3 linked regions of the Alligator mississippiensis genome follow. The protein of the gene in region 3 purifies or fractionates together with the protein of the main gene of each other region. This does not show direct contact. Links are inferred from orthologs where the notes say so. Each region holds a gene or a part of one and is shown on either strand. Other genes may lie near its edges. The genes, in order: TEAD4, IRF2BPL and VGLL4.

The links.
Region 1: the proteins of VGLL4 (region 3) and TEAD4 purify together in Homo sapiens (co-immunoprecipitation; 5 studies listed by BioGRID and IntAct, counting the BioPlex papers as one, with this or other methods). This does not show direct contact. The link is inferred for Alligator mississippiensis from reciprocal best matches to the Homo sapiens genes VGLL4 and TEAD4.
Region 2: the proteins of VGLL4 (region 3) and IRF2BPL purify together in Homo sapiens (affinity purification with mass spectrometry; 3 studies listed by BioGRID and IntAct, counting the BioPlex papers as one, with this or other methods). This does not show direct contact. The link is inferred for Alligator mississippiensis from reciprocal best matches to the Homo sapiens genes VGLL4 and IRF2BPL.

The regions. Positions count from the first base shown.
Region 1 is NC_081827.1:143,817,310-143,825,770, reverse strand, and holds the start of TEAD4 (transcriptional enhancer factor TEF-3), read left to right. Parts: upstream 1-5,193; coding exon 5,194-5,464; intron 5,465-8,461. UniProt on the Homo sapiens protein: Transcription factor which plays a key role in the Hippo signaling pathway, a pathway involved in organ size control and tumor suppression by restricting proliferation and promoting apoptosis.
Region 2 is NC_081825.1:262,647,219-262,654,795, forward strand, and holds the start of IRF2BPL (probable E3 ubiquitin-protein ligase IRF2BPL), read right to left. Parts: upstream 3,110-7,577; 5' UTR 2,727-3,109; coding exon 471-2,726; 3' UTR 1-470. UniProt on the Homo sapiens protein: Probable E3 ubiquitin protein ligase involved in the proteasome-mediated ubiquitin-dependent degradation of target proteins. Through the degradation of CTNNB1, functions downstream of FOXF2 to negatively regulate the Wnt signaling pathway.
Region 3 is NC_081835.1:32,363,544-32,371,735, forward strand, and holds the start of VGLL4 (transcription cofactor vestigial-like protein 4), read left to right. Parts: upstream 1-4,617; 5' UTR 4,618-5,064; coding exon 5,065-5,146; intron 5,147-5,621; exon of another isoform or gene 5,622-5,783; intron 5,784-8,192. UniProt on the Homo sapiens protein: May act as a specific coactivator for the mammalian TEFs.

The sequences.
Region 1 (8,461 bases), on a different chromosome or scaffold from region 3:
TGGGGGTAAAATTTGCACTGGTGAAATTACACTGGTTTAGGTTTTGTTTGTTCATATCCATCCTGGGTAGTTGTCTTCTGCAGGCATGCAGACTAGTTTTTGCTTCTCAGCTATAAGGCAAATCTAACATGCAAATTTTTCCTGGATGGCTAAATGTCTGTGTGTTCCTGATCCCAGGGTAATTTGCATTGGTATATAGTTGTAGGCTTAACGTTAGCTGGGTCAGACTATTTCCCTCCCAGTCACTGGGTGATAAAACTATATCTTATCTTGTATGTGTTGCACCCCTTTTTACCCTAGCATAGACCAGGCACTAGAAATTGGGGTGGTTCATAGCCATCAAAAGAGACTGCCTTTTTTCCACTTTCCATTCTTTAGTTTCCCTGAGTAGCCTCAGCTCAGACTTTACTCTCTCTTTGACTCTCAAGAGCAAAATCCCTTAAATAGCTGAATAACCTTCTGCTGAGCACCTGCCAATGAAGTTGACTTGGTGGTGATAGACATCTGGCAGAGGGAAGTAGAGTGGGGCACGGACAGTGAGCAACTGTTGGCCACCGGTTTCAGGGTCTCTTAAAGCTGCAGTCCTCATTTTGGTTCAGTTGTCACTGCACTTTGTGTCATGTTGATAAAGACTGAGGTTGCTACCCCCACTATCTTTATTTTCCTTCTCCAGAGACAGAAGTACACAGCATAGGACCTAGCCCCGGGGGGGGGGGAGGGGGGAATGTTAGGTTGAGAAACAGGAATCCCAGTGACTACAGTTCTGAGTTGAGTCCCTTGATTCCCCATCAGGTTTCTGAGCTACTTACAGATTAGATACTTCCTGTTTAGTATTACCATTTATCTTTTTATTTCCACAGTGTTTACAGGGGCTTTTGTGCATTTTTAAAGTGTAAAATGAGCACCAGTATCTCTGCTGTGGCTTTAGATTAAAACAAAGTCTTGTGGGAAATAGATTCAGTGAGGGGGTTTTCTTTCCTTGAAATCTCAGCTCCAGGAATAACATAAATTAATGAGAATCTCTGCTTTCATGTAAGGAGAAAAAACTTGTAATGTTCGGAGTTGCAGAGAAGAGCTTGAATGCGTGAACCCGAATGACTCGGAAACCAGAAAGGAAAATAACAGGGGCCCCAAATTTATACTTCTTTAAGCAATTTCAGGATTTTCAGGACTGGAGTCCTGATTTTGCCCTTGGACAATGGGAAGCCCCTTGTTATCTTCCCAGCACAGGCCTTGAAATAGAAAAGGTTCTCTGGGTCTGTGGAGGGTGGTGAATGTAGGTAAGGTGCCCTCACCAACTCTGGAGACAGGAGGAGGGTGATCTGCCCCTTTAAAATTGCTTGACCCAGTAGTTTCTTTGATTCTGCTTTTCTCCTTCATTTCTTTCCCCTTTCCCACTATTTTCCCCCTCCCCTTTTTTTTTACTTTTTTTCCTTGGCTTATTACTTGTTTCTCCTGAGTCTTCCTGTATTTCTTCTTCTCCATCACCTCTCTTTCTCCCTTCATTATTATTTGTGTTGTGATAGTGCATATGAGCCTTAATGAAAAGCAAGGCCCTTGTGTTAGGCAAAGCTCAATCACTAAAGAAAGATGATTTCTGGCCTGAAGAGCTTGCAGCTCACATGTGAGGCAAGATTCTGCTCATGCTTTGCTGCACTATCTCCATAGTGCTATCTAGTCTTCCTAATCTCTCTCCCCTTGCCTGCTCCTACTTGTACCCTCCTCTCCTCGCTTCTGGTTTATCTTTTTAATCCCTTGCTTCCTCTTTGCAGTCTCTATCCTGCTTTTCTGTTTTTCCCTCTTTCCCCTTTCCTTTCTCTTCCACCCTCTCTCTACGTATGATATTTATTCACTGCCAGTCTACACTTAGAAATTGTTCCAGAGTAAGTTTAGGCTGTCAGTTTAAGTCATAAAATGTGTTCCAGGTATCTTTCCTATGTAGCAGAGAATCCTTGAGCTTTACACTCTTCTCTGTGTCTTTCATGCTTAAAGTGGGGCCTCGTGGTGCCCCCTCCTAACCCCACTTGCCTTAGCCCTCTTCTGTCCTTTCCTCTCTTCATGAAACAGAGGCTGGGTGCTTCTGAGCTATCTATTGTGCTGTGTGATTTTTTTTTTTTTTTTTTTTTTTCCTACTGCTCAACTTGCTGTACTTGTAACGTGGGATTTTTTATTTTTTTTTTTATTTTTTTTTTAGCACTTTCTTTTTGTATTACAGGACAGACAGCCTAGCTCAGGGTGTGGACCAAGGGCTACATAGGAAGTTTTGATGAGCTTTTGCAGGTCAGGTCAGCAACCTCTCTACCCCTGCAACAACTTACCAAAACTTCATATGGGGCTTTAGGCAGGTGGGGGGCAATGTTTGGGAGCAGGATGGGCAGGTGAGGCTGATCTGCTCCCTGCACACCCTCCCCAGGTGGGGTGGGCCATGTGTGCATGGGGATGTGTGTGGGTTGTGTGTGTGTGTGGGGGGGGGGGCATGTGTGCATGTGTGTAAAGTGGGGGCTGCCTGGGTGCTAGGTTCAGAGCCAATCAGAGCTGAGGACAGGGAGGGGGAAGGGGAGGAGAAGGGGGAAGGGTGCGGTACATGCATCAGAGCTTGACTGGGTGGTGAGGTCTGTAGCTGCCCCTGCAATGCTCCACATGCGGCCAAGCCCCACACAGGGCAACCAGAGCCAGCCCAGCCTTGGTCCCAGCCCTGGCCAGTGAACAGCTTCTGGTGGGGCTGTTCCTAGTGGGGCTGCAGCTGGCGGGGTGCTGCTCGGTTCCCCTTGTCTCCAGTGGGAGTTGTCCAGCTGAAGCTTCCCCCCATCTGCCCACCCAGAGTCTCACAGCAGGGGCAGGAGTGGGAGGAGGAGCAGCTGCTGGAGACAGGTGGAGCAAAGTAACCCCTGGCTGGCTGCAGCCACATTGGGAACTGCTCCACTAGAAGCTGCATGCACTGGCTAGGACATGGGCCAACAGAGCTATTCTACCCCTATTGCTCCACAATAGAGGCTTCTCCTTCTGGTCCTGTCCCTGCTGCACCACTCCTGGCGGGTGGGGGAAGCTTCAGCCAGGCAGCTTCTGCCTTAGCTCATGGGGCTCTGGCTCTAGCACCCAGCTGCCTTCCACCCACTCAGCTGCATAGGTTTCTGTACTTGCACATGGCTGCTTATGGTGCCAGGTGGGTGGAGTGAGTAGAAGGCAGCCCGGAGGTGGAGCTGGAGCTAGAGACCCACACACTGAAGCAGGAGTCATCCAGCTGAAGCTTTCCTCCCCAGCCACCTGGAATAGTTCAGCAGTGAATGGACCAGCAGGAGGAGCCTCCATTGGAGGCAATGGGAGCAGATCAGCTCTGCTGGCCCAGGCCTCTGCCAGTGCATGCAGCTTCCAGCAGGGCTGTTTCCAATGTGGCTGCAGCCAGCCAGGGGCTACCTTGGTCCCCTCGCCTCCAGCAACAGCTTCTCTTCCCATTCCTGCACCTGTTGCACCACTATGGGTTGAGGGGAAGCTTCAGCTAGGTAGCTCTTGCTGGAGGCGAGGGGAACATGGAAACAGCCCCGCTGAAAGCTGCACACGCTGGTTGGGGCTCAGGCCAGCAGGCACAGGCTGGAGTATGGTGTGTGCTGCCCTGGTGGGAGTGGGTGGGTCTAGGCCCCATGCAGAGCACCACGGGGGCAGCCACGGGCTGGATCCCATCAGTTGGCAGTCTAGATCTGGCCTGTGGGCTGTATTTTGCCTGCCCCTGGCCTAGCTAGTTTAAAGGCCCCTAATCTGTGGCTTGTGAATCGCCAGTCCTCTAGTGGCTCACAATGCAAAACAGCAGCCAGTAAATTCACTCTGAAGGAGATACATACTTGTTCAGTGAGCCCCCAAGTAGAGCTTCACAGACTACACGTGCTCCCTGCCTCCCCAGTTTGACCACCTCTGTTTGGCTGGTTTGGTCTTCTCTATTGCAAAGGTTTATAAGATGACTGTTATTATTTGCATGATTTTAATGTCCAGAAGTATGTTGCTGCATAAATACATAATGAGAAGCATCTCTCTGCCCCAAAGCCCTTACGATCTATATAGACAAAATGCATGATACATATTTGGCCCACCAAGGGATTCTTATCTGGCCCATGGCAGGTCCTTCGGCTCCACCTGGCCCAGGTACAGGGAGTAGCCTGAGCTGGTAACACATGAAGCTGGTCCTGCTGTCCCAGGTGCGCAGCGGGGCTGGAATGGCACAGCGTCCGGACTCAGTTCTTGGCAGCCCCTGCAGTGGCAGCTCCTTCCAGCTGCTGCTGCCAGTCTCTGCTGCTACCTCCAGGCACCTCTGCCTGTCCACCCCGCACCCACCGCTGGCAGCATCAGATGGAGTAGCTGGGCAGAGTCTCCATGGAGACTGGCCCAGGATGCCGTGGGTTGGGTGTACTTAGCCAGGTGGATGAGATGGGACCACAGACAGGTGGGGAGCAGCATCAGGGAGCGGAACGGGTGGACAGGGCAGAGCCACTTAAGAAGTTTTGGTGAGCTGTTGCAGGGCAAGGGGGGTGCTGACCTGGCCCACAACAGCTCACCAAACCCCCCTAAGTGGTCCTCCAGCCCAAATAAGTACCCCGCCCCCTGCACTAGTCCATCAGGCTTTTAAGGAACTTGTTTGGAAAATGGCTTCCGCTTCTTGGGAAGCAGACAAGTCAGTGTTTAAAAACGACACCACTCACTCGCTCCAACCCAGTGAAACTGTACCCAAGAAAATTCCAACCTCAGTCCTGAGCGATGACTAGATAATTCATCACGGCTTTATGTTGTGTAGTGTCTTTCACACTGACTGAGTCCTGCCTGCTTTGGATCGTTAAATAATGCATTTACAAAGATAATGAATGCAGAGGGAAAGAGAAATTAAGAACAAGGGCAAGGAAGAGAGTGGGTGTGTTTTCTGATAAGAACTGGAAGTAGATGGCAAGCTAATGAACAAAGGCAATACCAGGAAGGCTATTCTGAGCAGAGCCTGCTGCCGAGGAGAAGGTTCTCTTCTGGTTGGTGGAGATCTTGTGTGCATTTCTGCATATTTTATTGTGTCAACTAAAGACAGTCTTCACAGTCTGATCCTGGAAGAGCCAAAGGCCTGTGACCAGCCCAGGGTCTCAAAACAGGGGCAACACTGAGCTGTTTTTCTTATACTCTGTTAGCGTTCATGGTGAAAAGATTCACTGAGTGAGACGGAGTATGTTTGCCCTTTTAGGTTCGGTGGCTGCTTCTCCAAGTGGCGCCTTGGAGTTTCTAACTGGCACCATTACCTCCAACGAGTGGAGTTCTCCCACCTCCCCTGAGGGGAGCAACGACTCAGGGGGCAGTGAGGCCTTGGACAAGCCGATCGACAATGATGCTGAGGGTGTGTGGAGTCCGGACATTGAGCAGAGCTTCCAGGAAGCGCTAGCCATTTACCCGCCATGTGGGCGGCGGAAGATCATCCTGTCGGATGAGGGCAAGATGTACGGTAAGGAGAACAGCTGGGGGAGTTTTATCACCCTGGGGAGAAGGAAGATCTCTGTCAACCATCAGGTCTGCCATGTGTGCTGCTGTGAGAGAGATCCCAAATGATGCAGCAGCTCAGGTTAAATATGTTTGGCAAAGAAAAGCAAAGAGGAATAAGAAAAGTGGATCAAAGTGGCATTTAAAAGAAACTTTTTCAGAAAAGACTCCTCAAGTTTTTAACTAAAGTACGGCATGTTTATCATGTTTTTCATGTTTATCATGTTTTTGATAAAGGTTTTGGTGAAGTCTAATACAGTGGCTCAATGAATGCACTCATGCTATCTTTGAAATGTAGCTCATGCTGTCATTGTTAGGTTCTCCCTAACTTTAAGTGGTGGAAGTCTGTGGTTTTGGTGCTGAAGATCCTAGGTTCAAACCTTCAATGATGGTCTCCGATCGTGGTAGCTATGTTAGTGCCCATGTCACATAGTCCTTGAAAGGGGAACTTTTTTTAGCATAAATTGAGTATGAATTCCCCTCTCTCCACTTCCCCATGATGGTCTTTTGCCTCCTGTCTGCCTGAGTATATGCATTTTTTCATCTTTAATTTGCTTTCTGCCAGGACATAAAGAAGATTAGACCTAAACTGTTCTCAGTGATGGCAGATGACAGAACAAGGAGCAATGGTCTCAAGTTACAGCAAGGAAAGTTTAGGTTGGATATTAGGAAAAACTTTCTCTCTAGGAGGGTGTTGAAGCACTGGAACAGGTTACCTAGAGTGGTAGTAGAATCTCTATCCTTGGAGGTTTTTAAGGCCCAGCTTGACGAAGTCCTGGCAGGAATGATCTAATTGGGGCTGGTCCTGCTTTGCACTGGGGGTTGGACTAGATGATCTCTTGAGGTCCCTTCCAACTCTAATTTTCTATGATGCTATGATTCTGAGATGAATCATAGCATGAAATCTCCTCAGGTCAAGAATAAAGAGAGGCCTTGTCCTTCAAGTGCAAAAGGGGTGATAGGAAAAGATGATTTAAGGTCATTTTAAAATTGTTCTTTACCCCTCTTTGCCAAAAACAGCTAGTGAAAACATTTGCTGTCCAGGGCCATGGAAACCCTGGACCATGGAAACCCAAAAAGGCAGTGTACACCTGGTGGAAGGGGGGGGGGGGGGGGGCTTATCTCCAAAGAAGAGTATACCTCCATTGCTTGGGCCTGTAGGGGGGCTGTTAGGAAAGCTAAGGCAGATATAGAGCTAGGACTAGCGTCCAAGATCAAAGATAATAAGAAGTCCTTTTTCAAATATATAGGGAGGATGAAGAAGGCACCAGGAAATGTGGGGCCCCTGCAAGATGTGCTGGGCAATCTGATAGTTGCACCAGAGGAGAAGGCAGACATCTTTAACAAATTCTTCACCTCCATTTTCTTGTGCAGGGACCGGGACTCCCCCACGGTGTTTCAAGACAGACTCGAGGGGAACGCCTCAAGACCTAAGGTTGAGGTGGACCGGGTTAGAGTGCTTCTGGAGGGGCTGGACGTGTTCAAGTCAGCAGGTCCAAATGCTCTCCACCCCAGGGTGTTGAGGGAACTAGCAGGGGTTATTGCTGGGCCCTTGGCACGGCTTTACGAGCACGCGTGGTGCTCAGGCCAGGTGCCAGATGATTGGAAAATAGCCAATGTGGTCCCCATCTTTAAGAAAGGGAGGACCCAGGCAACTATAGGCCCGTCAGTCTTACCTCAATCCTGGGGAAACTTTTTGAGAAGATCATCAAGGAGCACATCTGTGACGGGCCGGCATCGGGGATGATGCTCAAGGTCAACCAGCACGGTTTCATTAAGGGCAGATCATGTCAGACCAACCTGATTGTCTTTTACGATCAGGTCACAAAAGCATTGGATGCAGGTGTCGCCGTGGATGTAGTCTTTCTGGACTTCGGCAAGGCCTTTGACACTGTCTCCCACCCCATGCTCATTAAAAAACTAGGCGACTGTGGCATCGATGCCTGCACGGTCAGATGGATTGCTAATTGGCTGAAGGGTCATATTCAGAGGGTGGTGGTGGATGGGTCATATTCGACCTGGGAGAAAGTGGGCAGTGGAGTCCCCCAGGGCTCGGTCCTTGGGCCCACACTGTTCAATTTCTTTATCAGCGATTTGGACAACAGGGTGAAAAGTAACCTGTTCAAATTTGCTGATGATACCAAAATTTGGGGTGAGGTGGGCACGCTAGTATGGAGGGAAAGACTGCAGAAAGACCTGGATAGGTCGCAAGGGTGGGCTAACAAAAGCAGGATGCATTTCAATACAGAAAAGTGCAGAGTGCTGCACTTGGGCAGTAGTAACCGGCAACACACTTATAAGATGGGAAACTCCCTTCTTGAGAGCACGGAGGCAGAAAGGGATCTTGGAGTCATCACTGACTCCAAGATGAACATTGAGAGGGTCCAGAGGAGGGCCACCTGCATGATCCGGGGACAGCAGGGCAGACCCTACAATGAGAGGCTATGGGACCTGAACCTGTTCAGCCTTCACAAGAGAAGGCTGAGGGGGGACCTTGTGACTGTCTATAAACTCACTAGGGGGGACCAGAAGGGTTTGGGGGAGACCTTGTTTCCCCTAGCGCCCCCTGGGATAACAAGGAATAACGGCCACAAGTTGTTGGAGAGTAGGTTCAGATTAGACATCTGTAGGAACTACTTCACAGTTAGGGCGGCTAGGATCTGGAACCAACTTCCAAGGGAAGTGGTGCTGGCACCTACCCTGGGGGTCTTTAAGAAGCGGCTCGATGCCTACCTGGCTGGGGTCATTTGAGCCCAGTTGCCCTCCTGCCCAGGCAGGGGGTTGGACTTGAAGATCTACAAGGTCCCTTTCGACCCTACTTCTATGATTCTATGAAACCAGGTGCAAGTTGTGATCTAGAGATGGAGCAGATCAGCCCAGTCATCTTGTAGAGTAAATGAGTTAAGTATCTTGACCTAGTCAACAATCAAGTGACTAATAGTAAAAATCTCTAGTAGACACA
Region 2 (7,577 bases), on a different chromosome or scaffold from region 3:
GAAAGAAAGTGAAGGACTAACACTCAGGGCTTGTAAAACGTAAGCTGTCACCATTTTTGTAGCAATTTTTTTTTTTTTTTTTTTTTTTTAGGCGTCAACACTGGCCTTGGCAAAAAAAAAAAGTTGTATTTTTTTCTTTTTTCTTCTTCTTCTTCTGTCAGAGAAGTGCATACATTTACAAAAATACACACCAGCAGCAGGTAATCGCTAAGGGCTATTAACTGTGTACCTAGCCAACACACTGCCAAAGAAATGAGACCAGGGCTTATGGAGTAACCAAACAATATTATATTCTGTTTAACAAAAACCAGCTCTATCCTTCAAATGAAGAAGAGTACATACCTTTGTTTCAAAATATAGAAACGTACGACGAAAATAATGTCTATACATCAGACTAACTTTGTTGCAGTCCGTTATATTCACAATTCTACAGGTTCAGGAGCCTGGAGGGAGGGGCTGGGCGGCCTAGTTCAAGGGTCTCTCTCCTTTTTCACTTTCACGTCCCCGGCTAAAATGGTGGCGATCTCGCCCTGCATAAACGCCCAAGGCACGTTGGAACCGACAAGGGGGCATTTCTCTCCGCTGGGGCAGTAGACCTCGCCCGTGGCCCCCTGGGCCTTGATGCTCTCTCGGGAGCAGGGGAAGCAGAACTTGTGGCTGGGCACGGACGGGCACTGCACGAAGTGCGTGTCCTCCAAGCGTTCGTGGCAGATGGTGCAGCAGAGGGGGCCGCTGTTGGCCATGGGCGAGTCGGGAATGTTTTGGGGGTGCACGGGGTCCATGCCAGGGTGGGCGCTAGGGGGAGGGGGGGCCACCTGCAGGTTCATGTCGCCGTTGCGCGAGGCCAGGCGGCGCTGGCCGGGCACCGAGGCGGGGGACACGGGGCTGCTGCTGTTCCGGCGGCCGGCCGTGGTGGAGTGCACGGAGCTGCCGTCCTTGGGCGAGTGCGCCGTGCCCAGCGTGTCGGCCACGGACATGAGCGCCGCCATGGGCGACTGCCCGTTCTGCGGGGCCGCCTCGGGCGGCGTGGTCCGGTTGGGGTGCGGGCCCAGCGGCGGCGGCGGCGGCGGCGGGCCTCCGCCGTGCACGGCGCCGAAGCCGCCCGCCGCCATGGTGAGCTTGAGCGCTTCGCTCTGGCTGGCCATCCACTGCTGCCGCTGCTGCTCCTCGCTCAGCTTCAGCCCCGCCTCGGCCGAGTCCGGCGGCTCGGGGGACGCCTTCCTCTTGCGCAGCCCACCCCCGCCGCCGCCGCCGCCGCCGCCGCCCGGGCCCCGCGCCGAGCCGGCCGCCGCGCCCTGCCCCGCCGCGGGGCCGCCGGCCGGCCGGGGCAGGCTGACGAGCGCCGTGGGCAGCATGGGGCAGCTGGCGTCCAGGTAGGGCTGCGGCAGCATGTCGGCGCCCACCAGCTCCTTGAAGAAGCGCACGGACTCGGGCAGCAGGTCGCCCAGCAGGCGCCAGTCGCCGGAGCCGTGCTTCTTCTCGTACTCCAGGTACTTGAAGCCCGAGGACAGGCCGCGCCCGAAGTCCTTCATGCAGTCCTGGTACATCTGCTTGGCCACGCCCGAGGCGCTGGAGAAGACGGTGCCCGAGCCGCTGGGGTACTCGATGAAGAGCTTCAGCTCGTAGTCCAGGCCCGGCTTGGACACGGCGTCGAAGGCGAAGACGCGGCCGAGCAGCGTGTGGTCCTTCTTGAAGCGCACCTCGTAGGGCGTGCAGCCCGCCAGCGTCAGCAGCGTGTCGCGCACCAGCTTGGGCTTGCTGGCCCACTCCTCGGCGCGGTTGCGCAGGCTTTCGCCCAGCTCGGCCAGCGCCTCGGCGTTGCGCTGCTTCTCCTTCAGCTCGCGCTCCTGCTCGCTGCTGGACACCGAGCCGGGCCGCTTGTCGCCCGCCGCGCCGGGGCCCGGCCCGCCGCCGCCGCCGCCGCCCGGCCCCGCGCCGCCCGGCCCCGCGCCGCACGCGCCCGCCGGCGCCGAGCCCGAGGCCGCGGGGGGGCCGCCGCCGCCGCGCCCGCTCAGGCTGCCGTGCGGCGGGGGAGGCAGCGCCACGCCGGCGGCCGCCGGGCCGTTCAGCAGCGTCTGCGGCAGCAGGTTGGGCGGCACGCTCAGCCCGGCGCCGCCCGCGCCCGGCGGCAGCCCGGCCACCAGTCCGCCGTGCGCGCCGCGCCGCGACGACGCCGCCGCCGAGGCCGACGAGGAGTTGGGGCTCTGGCGGTTCAGCTCGGGCGGCCCGTCCTCAGGCGCCTTGGGGAAGCCGTTCGGGCCGCCCAGCCCGTTGGGCAGGCGGGCGGCCAGGCTGCCCGGCGGCGGCGGGTACTCGAAGCGGCCGCGCGGCTCCGCCGCCGCGCTCAGCCCGTAGCGCTCGAGGCCGGCCGGCGCCAGCCCCGCCGAGGCGGCCTTGGCTGACGCGTCCACGTGGTTCAGCTGCTGCTGCTGCTGCTGCTGGGCCGCTGCCGCCGCCGCCGCCGCCTCCTTGGCGGACAGCGGCACCGCCTTGACCCCGACGGGCGGCGGCGGGCCCGGCGAGCGCCCGTCCTGGAAGCAGCCGTGCGCCCGCTTGAGCTGCCGCGCCGTCTCGATGACGAACTCGATGCGGTCGGCGCCCTCGTAGTTGACGCAGCCGCGGCACACGGGCTCCGTGAAGTCCCAGATCATGGCCCAGGGCATGCGGGGCAGGTCGCACAGGTAGCACGACTGTCTCCGCGACGACGACACCTGCGCGGCCGACATGGTGCCGCGGGCGGCGGCGCTCCCCGTGCCGGCTCCCGCGGGCCCTGGCGGCGGGGGCTCGGCTCGCCGCTGCTGCCGGACAGCGCTGCCCTCTTGCTACCTGGCGCCGGCAGCGTCGCCTGCTCCCGCTCCCGCTCCGCGCCGCTCCGCCGGGGGGCTGGCTGGGCTGGGCTGGGGTCGCCTTCTCGCCGCTGTTTCCCGGCGCGCTCTCGCTCTGGCTCTCGGCGGCGGCTCCTCCTCCGCGCGGGGGGCGAGGGGGGGCGGCCTTCTACCCGGCGCCTTTTACCCGGGGACCCGCGGGAGGAGCCGCCCGGGCCGGGCCCGCTCTCCGCGCTGCTGGCGAGCGGCGCCGCCTGCTCCGCACTCACATCTCGCCGCTGCTCGGGGCTCGCGCTCGGAATCCGGAGTGTGTCGCGTCCGGCGTGGCCCCGCCCCCCCCGCCCGGCGCGGCGCGGATGCCACCGGGGTGGAGCCCTCGCGTCACGCCCGCTCCGCCCCGCCCCCCGCCGCAGTTCCCCTTTCCAGCCTCCCTCCCCTCCCCCCACTTCCTCTGCCTACGGACGCGGAGGCCACTTGTTGCGCGGAAATTGCGCATGCTCGGCCCGCTGCCCGCTTCCTCCCTCCCGGCTGCGCGACAGCTGAGGCAGCGGGAGAGACGCACCGAGGGCTATGTTTGGAAACTCAGACACGAACTCGCTCCCGCTCCCAGCCCCCCGGCAGCTCCTCCCGAGCCAGGAGGCGGCCGGGAAGCACATGCGGAGCAGCCCGGCCGCAGGAGGACACGCACTTCGTGCAGTGCCGGCCGCAGGGGGCTGCCCGCTCCTGGCTGTCAGATGAGCCGGGCCCGGCTGCCAGAGCCGCAGGGGGCGGGGCGGGGCGGGGCGGGGCTGGGCGCGGCCGGGCTGGTGACCCCCAGGGGAGGGCCGCCGGATCCCCCCACGCAGGGGCAGCGCCGAGCTTTCGTTTTCCTTCTCGGGCTGCGCTGGTCAGCAGCCGCTCCAGGTCATGCAAATGCGCTGTGAACGCGTCGCACTCGCAGGGGAAAACGCGCTTTATTTTCGAGGCTGCAGCTGTGACGCTGGAGCGTGGCCGTGGCCGTGGCCGTGGCCGGGCGGAGGTTGCGGCTGCAGCGTCCGCAAGCCCCGGCCCCAGGCCCCCCACCCCCGCGGCCCGAGCCTGGCGCGCTCCTGTGCCCAGGGCCCTGCGTCACTGGTCGCACCATGTAGCTCGCTCCCAGGGTGACTCCCCCTCGCCAGGGAAACATTGCTGCACTCCCCGAGCTGTAACGCTGCAGCTGGTCACGCCGGATAACCCCTCTCTTGTTTTTGCTCCTCATTCAGCTCGCCTTCATTGAACGCAGAAGAGAACAAAAAAAATGGCCTTTTGATTTCTCTCCCTCTCCTGCAAAGGCCGCTCTAATTTCTGTGGCATGGCGCCATGTCCCCTCTCCACAAAAACGTACAGTATTAACAACGCAGTGCTTCGTGCCTCGTGAAAGAGGGACCAGCGGGGTATCAGCTCTGTTCAAGTTTCTTCAAATAACGTGATTCCCTTCAAATCCCCGCTGCTTCTCAGGGCCACGTCCAGGGCTCTTAAAGCCGGCAAACTTGATGTGAAATGATATGTCCGGCTTTTTTTAAGAGAAAAAGCGACCTGAAACGCAGGCCGTAAAGCTACAGAAGGGACGGGCTCCGATCCAGCCAGCTCTGACCAGGTGCCATCATTTTTCCAAAGGGGCAGCTCATGGGGCAACGAGGTAGAAAGGAAAACCGAAAGTCCTTGGATGAGCTAAGTCTCTCGCGTGCACAATTTCTGTAGGAGATGAACTCCCGGGGGATGGTTTGCACATGGAGGAGTGTCATACCCAGGCTGCGGACAATATCAAGGCTTCATTGAAGCGGAGTCCAGCGAGGCAGGTGGAGGCGGGGGGCGAGCGGCCTCTCCTCGCAGCGCCCCGGGGGGCTTGGGGAAGGCTGCGGGGCTTCCCCTCCATGTCACTGGACTTGTCTGAACACGATGTGCTCGCTGTCACACAGACCTGAAGGGCAACCCCCTCTCCCCTTCCCCCTGCTCTGTGATCTGCACGTAAGCAACAGAATTGGGCGATGAGAAAAAAAAGTCTTCCCTTTGCCTAAATCATGCCAGCCGAGGAAGCAGAGGTCCCCCCGGCCCTGGCTCTCTGGGAAGGGGATGCGAGAGGAGTGGAGCTGGATTTCACTCCACAAATGCCAAGGCGCTCCCTCGCCCTGGCTCCTCTGACTCCTAACTGCGGGAAAGCCCCAGGCTCCCCGCAGGAGCGGCCAGGCCCCGGGCTCACGAGACCAGCGCAGGGAAACAATAACCAGAGAGCAGATCTAGCCTCAGCAAAGCGCTCACGGGTGCTGGCAACTCCCTTTCTAGTCTGGGAACAGAAAAAGATGGGCGATTAGCACGTGTGAGCCGGCTCCGCGGCCTTTCCTCTTCCGGGAAGGATGCGCTGGTGGGAGCGGGGATTTCTTTTCCCGTGATGATTAAACCCGGCTTTGAAGCGGGGCCCCGGGGGTCCCTGCCTGGGAGGCGGCGGCACCGAGCGGCCGGGCAGGACCCATCTGGGCTGCTGGAGGGGAGCAGAGTGAACGATGCCAACCTAACAGTCAACGCTAAAATCTCCCTCAAGGGCGGCAGGGCGCCTCTCCCACCGCGCTGTCCTTTCGCCGGCCAGGAGCAGGGCGGCAGGAAGCCGGGTGAGTCTCCTTGGGCCGCCACTCAGCCAGAGAGATGTTTCTTTAGCTCTGCAATAATCCTGGAATTAAAGCGCGTGTGGAGGAGAAGCAGGAGGAAAGGCAAGAGCCCAGGCAAGGAAGTCTCCCAGGTGTGTGCCCCGGTGCCAGCACACACGCAGCCCGGCAGCGCCAGCGGCGGGGGCTGGTGGCCGGGCGCGGCCCGAGCCGAGGGGCCGCGATCGGGAGGCCCTGGCCCCGGTCCCTGATGAGTGACCTGCCAGCAGCCCCGGGGCCAGGGCGTCCCTCTGGCTAACACGAGCATCTGCCAGTTCCGGGCAGGAAGGTTCCGGCCCCACGGGTCCTCTCGCTCGATCCCCGTCCCCAGGTTCATGACTGACGAGAGGTGAAGCTCTGATCTGAGCAAGGGAAGCAAACAGATCAGAGGACACACGACCCGGCCGACCCTGCACACGCAGCAAGCATGGAGGACAATGTCCTACCAAGGCAGGAAGCACTCGCCTGGGCTCAGCCCCCTGCCACAGCTTGCAAATGCACTGGGGGGACGGCTGAGGTCCCTGGGAGAGCAGCACTGATTGCTACCGAGCCCTTGCCTGCGGCAGCCCCAAGGTTTTCGGCACGAGCCATGAGGACGCCGTGAACCAAGCGGAATTGCCATGAGACGTGTAGCCCGGATCCGTTCCCAGATCGGGCCGGGCCAAGGGCTCGCTCCGCACGTAGCAGCCCGGCCGCTACAAGGACACTCTTCCTTCCTGAGGAGCTCACCTCAGAAAGGGGGAGGGGGTGTTAATCAGATCTGTCCTCTCTCGTGGCCCTGCCCCGGGATCAAAGCAGCAGCTCCAGCTGCAACGCAGGGGCGGGGAGGGGGCACAGGAAGGAAGAGAAATCGTGACAGAGCCCGGCCAGTGCAGAGATCTCCCCTGGCGCAGCGCGGCAACCGGCAACCGCAGTCGCTCCCAAGCAAGTGCCTGGCTTGAAACCAGTGAAGAGGTGAACCCTGGAAAGCGCTGAGGCGTGCAGGGGAGTGTGCTCCTGAAACGGCATCGCAAATACTGGGGGAGGGACTTCCACAATTTTGTCAAATTAAAAGTGAAACAGCAGCGTCTTCTGCTGCAAACTGCCAGGAAGTGTCAAAACACGTAGTTACAAAGAGCAAGAGTGTAATTACGTGTTTCTGTTTATCGTTTCAGTTACCAGTTCTCTGCAGATTACAGGCCCTATTCGAAAATACTCCAGCTCCGGGGGCTTGTTGCTGTCTGCAGGCCTTCTTTCCAGCCTCCTGCCTAGGAATGCACCTTCCTTTCTTTCTCTGTTCTAAACCTGCCACTGGTTTCTCTACATGCTGGAGCTTACCACTTTGTAAGTGAGGCTTATGTCCCGCGCTCTATTTCTAGGAGGTTTCACTGCTAATTTTCTTTTTTTCTTTTCTTTTCTTTTCACAGTGCTGTTTCTCCTTTGCCACCACAGAGCACGGCTTGCTAGGGGGGTCTGTCTTCCTGGGGCCCTTTCGCTACTAACTACGTGATCCCACTGTACAAAATAGGTAACTTGGTTTCCCCCCCAAACCATGCAAAAGTTCCACTTCTTCCCCAGAAAGCAGCCCTGCTTCCCTTTTCATACAACTGTATTTATGGCTTTTTTAAATAATCTGTGGGCCCAGATTTCCAGGTGCCCACATTTGCCAAATCTTACAGTGCAAAATTAGACACCCATCATTATTTCTGTTTGCTCTGAAAGAGCCTAGATACCCCTGGACTGCACCCCTTGTGAGCCTGGGTTTGCCACTGTTGTTATTTTTATTTTACTCATTGACTGTATTCAGCTTACATCCTGGGGACGTAGTAAACAATCAACAATAATGAATCAACTGAATCGGTACTTCTTTTTTTTTTTTTTTTCTTTTTTTTTAAGGCTATTCCCACTGAGAGCCACTTGCACTTTCATGACAGTTAAGAATCTGCCAAACATTAGCTTAGTTACCAGCAAGACAGCCTCCCCCTCCCTTCAACCCATACACAGATTGTTTATCAAAACGTGCTGCCAAGAAAAATATCCCTGCTTTTGGCCTCCACCAGTGATTAATAACACTTGAGAACTGAACAAAACTTTACTGTGTTTAAAAAAAAAAAAA
Region 3 (8,192 bases):
GAGTGAATTGAACGTAGGTGCTGTAGTACTTGAATGATTTCTCAAGCCCATCCCACTTCAAATTTACAAATATAATTTTATTCATAAAAGTTTCTTCCATCTGGAAAGCTGCTTATTGCTCGGTCTGGGGGTAGGTGAGCACAGCTTTAACTGCTAAAAATTTGATGAGCCTCATGACATTTAATTAACAATCTAGGTTTTTAATGGATCATTATAATTGAGTGTGTGCACATGCACGCTCTCACACTCACGCGCGCATGAGCGCTCGCGCACACACACACAAACACACACACACTCTCTTTATTAAAAGGATTGTAGATCTCAGAGAGTGTGGTTATGAGCAGTTTTAAATTATTAGGTACCTAACTTAAGTACCCAGCTACTTTCTTGTGCAGCAAAGTAGGAGCTTTTACACTTCATCTTCTCAATAAAACAGTTTTTTGTTTTATTTTTGCATTAATCTCTGAAACAGTGCTCGTGTCCCTTTAATTGAAAGGAAATACAGGCAGGCATTTTTCAGCAGAGTTTTTCTTATTTCAATTAAAATACTTAGAGGAAGTAATTTTTTTCATCTTTAAATTTTATTCTAAACTAGTAACCTAGGTTTAGTAGAAATAACAGTAATAGAAGTGCCTTGGCATTTTAAAAATGTTTTTGATGAAATGTCATTTTAGGGAGCACTGCTATAAGAGCAGTGTCTCCCCTTTTGACATTCAGGAGAGGTATTAAGGCTAGGTACAGACATTGTACATAAACCACTTTAAGTGGTCAGAAACTGGATTAAACCTGTAACAGAACAGATGTTCAGTGCACATAAACCAGTTTGAAAATGTCTGAAAAATGGTTTGAGATAAACCTGGTTGAATGTAGTATCAGACTTAACTATTTGGCTCAAAACGGTTTATGCAATGTCTGTCCAAGACCCCTTGCTGGTTTAAGTTACATCAGAGTCCACCAGCATCCTGGCAGGCTCTCTGGGCTGGGCAGGGCTCTCTGCTCCATAGCAGAGCTGGCCCCTCCCCTCTGCTCCCTGGCTGGAGTTCAGCACAGACTTGCAGGCACAGCAGGGTGTGCTGGCTTCCCTGTGCCCCCCTCCTCCCCACTCTCGCCACTCGCTGCTTAAGCAGAGATCCCTTTCTCCTCTCTACCACAGCAGGGACCATAGCCAGCATGTGGTAGGCTAGTTAATGCCAAGGTAGGGTGTGTGTGTGTGTGTGTGTGTGTGCGCGCGCGCGTGCGCAATTTCACTGGGATAGGCAAACAGTGACCACTTAGGACTTTTGAAGCTAATCAACAGGCCAGCCAGTAAACTGTTTAAGAAATGTGAAGTAATGTGGAGAGAGGCTTTTGTTTTGCTAATTGGGTGACAAAGACTGTTATCAGTGCCCCTCTTCCCCCCCCCTCCCCCGCCAGGTCTGCCCACACTCCTCCCTTATTGCTGCAGCGGGGGGGGGGGACCATGGTCCCTGAGGCAGAGAGGGGCAGGGAGCAAAATTCGTTTTCCGTCTACGCCACTGGCAGCCGGGTGGCGCCTTGCCCCAAATTGGCCTCTGGCTTTCCCCTCTGCCGGAGGAATAACCCCATCCCTGTCCCCCCAGGGCCCCTGCCTAGCTGTGCCCCCTTCCTGCCACTGCAATGGGAGGGGTCAGGGCCCTTACTGAGGGCAAAAGTCCCTGTCCCACAGTGGGGGAGAGTGAGCCGCTTCCCGGCAAGGGGCTGCACTGTGGGCTTGGGTTGCGTGCGGCAGCGCCAGGGTGTGGAGTGGGCCAGAACCTTGCAAGCCCCCACAGTGCCGCCACACTCCACAGCCGTGCTGCTGACCCCACAGTGCATCGTCGCTGGGAAGCTGTGATGGGCTTCTGCCTGTCAGGCATGCACTGTTCCAGCTGCTGGGTGGGGGTGGTCCTGGCCCAGCCCCCACCGCTTGTTTTATGCCAGGGAAAACCATTGAGGGGGTTTATTCAGCCCCCATTATTCCCCGCTGAGCTTCAGCTGCAGGCCAGCCAGGCAGATGCTGCTGCCAGCATCTGAATAAGCTTCTTCCTACTGGGAGGGGTCTTGCTGCATGCACAGAGAGAGGCTGCTCAACCACAGCTGGGTCAGCTCAGCGTGGCCACCACCACTCTGTGCTTTCTGTTGAGCCTGGCTGCCGCTGGCCTGGAGGACAGAGCGGTGGCAGCTGGGCCGGGCACACCACGTTGTGGTGGAGTGGCCTCTTTCTGTTCTTGCAGTAAGCCCCCTCCCCGCAGGAAGGGAATTATTCAGCTGCTAGCTGCTTAGTCTGCCCAGCCGGGCTGCAGCTGAAACTCAGGGTGGGGGAGAATAACGGGGGCTGAATAAGCCCCATCAGTGGCTTGCCCTGGCACAGAATGGGCAGCAAGGGCTGGGCTTACCCCCGCCTGGCAGCTGGAGCCTGTCATGGCTTCCCGGCGGGGCTGCGCTGTGGGGCCAGCAGAGCGGCTGTGGAGTGTGGTGGTGCTGCAGGGGCTTGCAGGGCTCTGGCCCCAGACCCCAATACTGCTGTGTGCAGCCCGAAGTCACAGCGCAGCCCCTCGCTGGGAAGGGGATCACTTTCCCACACAATGGGACAAGGGCTGCTGCCCCCAGTAAGGGCCCTGGTTCCCTTCTGCTGCAGCGGCAGGGAGGGGGCATTGCCAGGCAGGGCCCCGGGGGGCGGTGGGTGGGCAGGGATGGGGTTATTCCTCCAGTGGAAGGTACACCTGGGGGCCTATTCCGGACAGGGAGCCACGTGGCTGCCAGTGGGGTAGAGAGGAAACAAACTTTGCTCCCTGCCTCACTCTGCCTCAGGGGCCATGGTGCCTCCCTGCTGTAGCAGCGAATAGGAGTGTGGGCAGACCTGGCTTGGGTCCTTGCCAGTGGCACAGAGTGGGAATTAAACCCTGCTCTGGCCAGTTCAGTCTGGGTTGGCCACTCCCTCCCCAGCACAGCTTCTCTGCAGCCGAGGGCTGGCTCTAGTGCCCCCTGTGCCTGGCCTGAGCAACTGCGGGCATGTTTGTCCAGTTACAAACCGGTTCAGCCTAGACAGATTAGACTAACCTGTAAAGGTTGAATCAGCTCAGGCTCTGGCTTTTTGAATGTCTGTCCCTAGCCTGAAAGGCTCCATATCATCAAAAGATGCATGCACTGTACACACTGCCCCTTGCCTCAGAGTGCTAGCCTGGGTCTGGGGGCTGGCAACACTCTTGCCCCTTGAGCAGCCAATGGAGAAAAGCCTGGGACCATGCAGGCAGACATCCCTAATGATAGAGTCCTGCCAGGGCCTGCCCATGTCCCCTCAGCTCATCTCCCTGCAGAAGGGAAGGGAGACCTGCTTTAGTGTGCTGCCCCCCCCCCCCCCCCCCCCCCCCCCCCCCCCCCCCCAGCATCTAGCCTGAGACACTGCAGGCACGTGCCTGAATTTCCTCAGTCCAGAGAGAATGTCTGTGCAGTTTCAAAACAGTTCAGCCTAGTCAGGTTAAACTAACCTGCAAAGTTTGAATCAATTCAGGCTCAGGTTTTTTGAATGTCTGTCCCTAGCCTAAAAGACAGGAATGGAATGTAGGCATCCAATTTCTATTGACAGATGGGTGCCTAGCTCTTTTTGTACCTTTTGAAAATCTCCCCTGAGGTAACCAAGGCAGAAAAGTGATTTGTACAAGGCCACAGACCAGATATTAGAACCCCAGAACTCCATTATGTCTTTGTTCAGACCACACTTTCCTACTGTTGCTTTAGGTGTTAATCTACCACAGGGGATATATAAAGATACCTATTAGGATGACATACCACATAGAAATATCGATACAGATGTTGTTCTTTCTGCGATGATTGGTATACATCTGTATAAACAATTAGAAATCTTTAAGATCAAGGTTTTGAACTGCTGGAAAACAAACCACATCCTGAGATGAGAACAACTATTGTTTTAAAAAAACAAAAATAACAACAACAAAAGTGTCCTTCACCCTGTCATTTAAAATGGTGTTAGAGCAGGCATTTAAAAAAAAAAACTGTAAAATGTTTAACTACAGATCTTTCTTAAGGATTTAAAAAACAACATTAAACTCCAACATAAACTTCACGTGTGTTTATAGATACATATTCCACTATTCAAACAGGTGATTTTTTAAAAATTATAATTCTCATTTTTTCCATATCCTGGCTACTAAGAATCCAGTTTGTTAATATTTCAAATAGTATTACTTTTCAGTGAATTGGCAACATTATTGTGCTATGTTGAAACCTTATCAAATAGTTGCAAATATTTTAATAGTCAAGTAAAAATAAATGTGAGGGGGTGGGAAAAATTATTTAAAGTAAAAAGTTTAAACTCAGTGCTGTCACTTGGAAATCCTTTCTGAACAAGTTAATCCTGTTTCCTTGCAGATTAGCTTGCTCAGTTTCCTCAACTTAGTACTCGGAGGTCTCTGTGTTTTTCTGGACTTTTCCTGTCTCCCTCCCTCTCTGTTTGCAGTGGCAGCACTGCTTCCTGTCAAGAGCAGCTCTGACATGGTTCTTTCTTTACAGACTCTCCACCTCCTCCTTCCTTTTCTTTCACTCAATACATTTAGAGACTGATCTTGTGCAGAAAATATCCTTGACATTTGAAGAGCTCAAGGGATTCAGTGAGCATGCTCAGTTCTCTGTGCCGGATAGAAAGAGGAAGCTAGTTTACATACGAGTCATACCAAGCATAGCCTGCATGTCAGTGCAGTTAACTTGCAGCGGGCTGTGAGCAGAACTAGCGTGGCTTTGTTTTAGGAAATTTCCTTCCTTTCTTTTTCTTTTCTTTTAATTAGACAAAGATTTACAAAAAGGTTTTTAAGAGTCTCCTTTGTAGAAGGACATACAGTACACTTTAAATTTAGCCTAAAAAACCTGGAAGGGTCCTCTTTTTATCCTTCTAAACTGCCTTTTAATATACCTTTTTGATTAATTAAAGGCTGGGCCTTGAGCTTGTGAAGTTTAGAAAGAGCCAAGAGCTACTTAACAGCATCTGTCTGGCTGCTTCTCCCTTTTTCTGGGCGAAAGCAAGCAAGCTGGTCTTTTTTGCTAGCCTGATAAATGCTATTTATGAAGATGGACCTGTTGAACTACCAGTACTTGGACAAGATGAACAACAATATTGGCATTCTGTGCTATGAAGGTAATTGTTTCATTTCACAAACTGCCTTTTGTGGACTGTATTTTACTTTAAGTTGGATTTTTCTCCCCTTTGGTTTATGTTTGTTAACACATGCTTTAGTACTGGCTAAGTGTCAAGTAAAATTTGAATTCTTATTTTCAAAGGAATATTTTCTATTCTTTTGAGCATGACATATAGTTTGGGTTTTTAAAAGCAAAGATGGCACTGATTGAAATACTTTAAATCAAGAACCTTGCTTGTGCACCCAGATACCATTCTGATAGTGTTAATATAGTTGTAAAGGAAATAATTATCATTTTTATAACATGGGTAAAAGCATTAATGTATTATACCTTTATGTGTATAATATAGTCTAGCAAGCGTATACTAAATAAATGCAATAAGCTTTTATTTGTGCTTTATCTTTATTCTACATGCTACATCTACATCTATGCTTTATCTACATTCATAACATATTTTGATACAGGATACTTACAAGTTTTTGTCGTAATTCAGTAATTGGTTTTAAACAGTGAAGAATTTTGCTCCTTTGGTTTTGAGGGTTGTAGGTATCCATATTACTGGGCACGGAGTGGCCTTTTGTTTGACTTCTCATTTTCTATATAGCTCTGAGAGTCCTGACAGTGAAAGATGTTTCTCCCCCATACTCCCACAGACACATACACGCACCTCCTCCCCCAAGAACTATCCCACACTGCAGCCCTTGTGGACGCAATTACACAACAGTCTGGAAAACTTCACTTTTTTGTCTTTGTGTTCTGAGTTTGCTTATTTTGTCCAGCTAACATAGTTTAGTGTCAACTGCTGATACTGTGGGTAATAGTAGCCTTGTTTCAAAGTTACTTTAGGTAATGGGGGAGGGGGTGCAGCTGCGTAGTTTTAGTTGAGCTTTATCTACGTGCAGTTTACAGAACTGGTAATGGCTTGGCTTTGAATGGAAAGAAAGGCACTACTGAGCTAATTCAGCTTGGCAGTAGGACTGTTTTTGCTGTAGCCACATTCAAACATAGCAGAAATCTTTATTCTGATTCAGCAAGAATTTTTTCCAAGTTCATCTGGAAAGTAAACTTGCTGTAAATGACTGTAAAGCAATAAAAATATATATAGATGTGATCAGGAGATATCTGCTCATACCACCTAAGAAAAAACTAGGCCTTAAATCTGGGAGCAGAACCTCACTCTCATAAAATGTCTGCCCTTCATCCTGCTTCAGTCAGAATGGCCATATTTCCTAGCTTGAGAGAATAAAAATGCTCATATGTAGAACTATGAAAGCCTCTACTTTACTTTTCATTTACATAACAATCTTGTAAAAGAATGTACTTGGATAAATCTGCTGTACAAAGAGTGGGTTTAACCAGTTAGTATTGAAAAATACAATGTAGATTGTGTGTGGCCATCTATACTTTCATACTCTTTCCCATTTTGTAGCTTCTTTTTTGAAACTTCTTTGTTGCAAGAAGAAACCAGATAAAAGAATTTTGAGTTTTTTTGGTAAGTTGGTCATCGCCCTGAATTAAAAATGGTGCTTTATTATGACATGACTGCTAGTTTGTAATGAAAATGAATTCTAAATAGAATTTCTGCTTATCGAGGGTACTTCTGGTTTTTTGCGTTTCTCTGACTAAGGGAAAGGGTTTGTTTGTTTTTTCCTTAGGCTTTCATTAATTTCATTCCATTACGTTTATTAGTCAGTACTTTGAAGCTGCTTACCAAACTCTGCTTTCTTATCATTCCTTTTTAAACCTGTTTTTTTGGACAGATCTTACTTTTGGTAGTTGGAAAGCAAAAGACCATCTTAAGGAACACACTCTAATATGTTTTGTTTAGTTTAGATGTCTCTTGCTGTTTTCCTTATTATGGAAGTTAACATTATTTTTTAACACTAAAATAAACATATGGGAAATGAAAAAAGAAAAGCAAAACCTGATTGCTGTTTTATAGTGAGGTGTTTATATCCTAGGGGTTTAAAAAGTATAAACACTGGCCCATATCTCCACTAAACCCTGAAAGGTTATTTTAGAGATGCTTACAGATCTTCCTTGCCACTGCCATGGAATTTTACAGTGGGATTGTCAGCAATGATGGATTCTTTTTAAAGCCACAGCTTGCAGTTGTGGGTGTGGGAGTGTGTGTGTTGAGAACAAAGTGGGGTTTTTTTCAGATTAATTTCTTAGGCTTTGAGGCTCGTACTTGAACTACTTATACATGTGCAAGCACACGCATACATACACACGCATGTGCGCACACACACACTTCCTGGAAAAGTTCTTTTGCAGATGTCAGATAAATATGCATTACATGATGATTATATAATCATGATGAGCTATATATATATAGCTCATCATGATTATAATATATCATGATGATATATATGATATAATCACGTGTCAGGATTTCTAGAAGAGAGGAACAGAATTAGATGCCCATATCCCACTGGAAATTAGTGGAATGTTTGTTTGTTTATTTCATGGGTGTCTTATTCCCTTAGTCTCTCCTGAAAATCTCAGTCCAAGTGTATAGTGTATTACTGCTTTCCTTGGGTTGCTAACTTTTATAGTAGAGTGCATCAAATCTACTTTTAAATAATTACAGTGGCATCATAATTTCATCCGTTTCATTTTCCCTTTTAACATCTCTGCTAAAAGAACAGTGTTGTTTGCCTTCACTTACTGAAACGACTCATGTACCTATGAAATGTACTATTATCACAGAATCATAGAAAATTAGAGTTGGAAGGAACCTTAAGAGGTCATCTAGTCAACCCTGCTGCTCAAAGCAAGACCTTCCCCAACTAGATCATTCTAGATAATGCTTCTTGAGTCAGGCCTTGAAAACCTCCAAGGATAGAGATTCTATCACCTCTCTAGGTGTAATCAGTTCCAGTGCTTTACCACCCTCCTAGTGAGGTTTTCTTAACATCCACCTAAACTTCTCTTGCTGCAGCTTGAGACCACTGCTTCTTGGTCTCTTATCTGCCACCACTGAGAACAGTCTAGCTCCATCCTCTTTGGAACCACCCTGCAGGTAGTTACAGGCCGCTTTC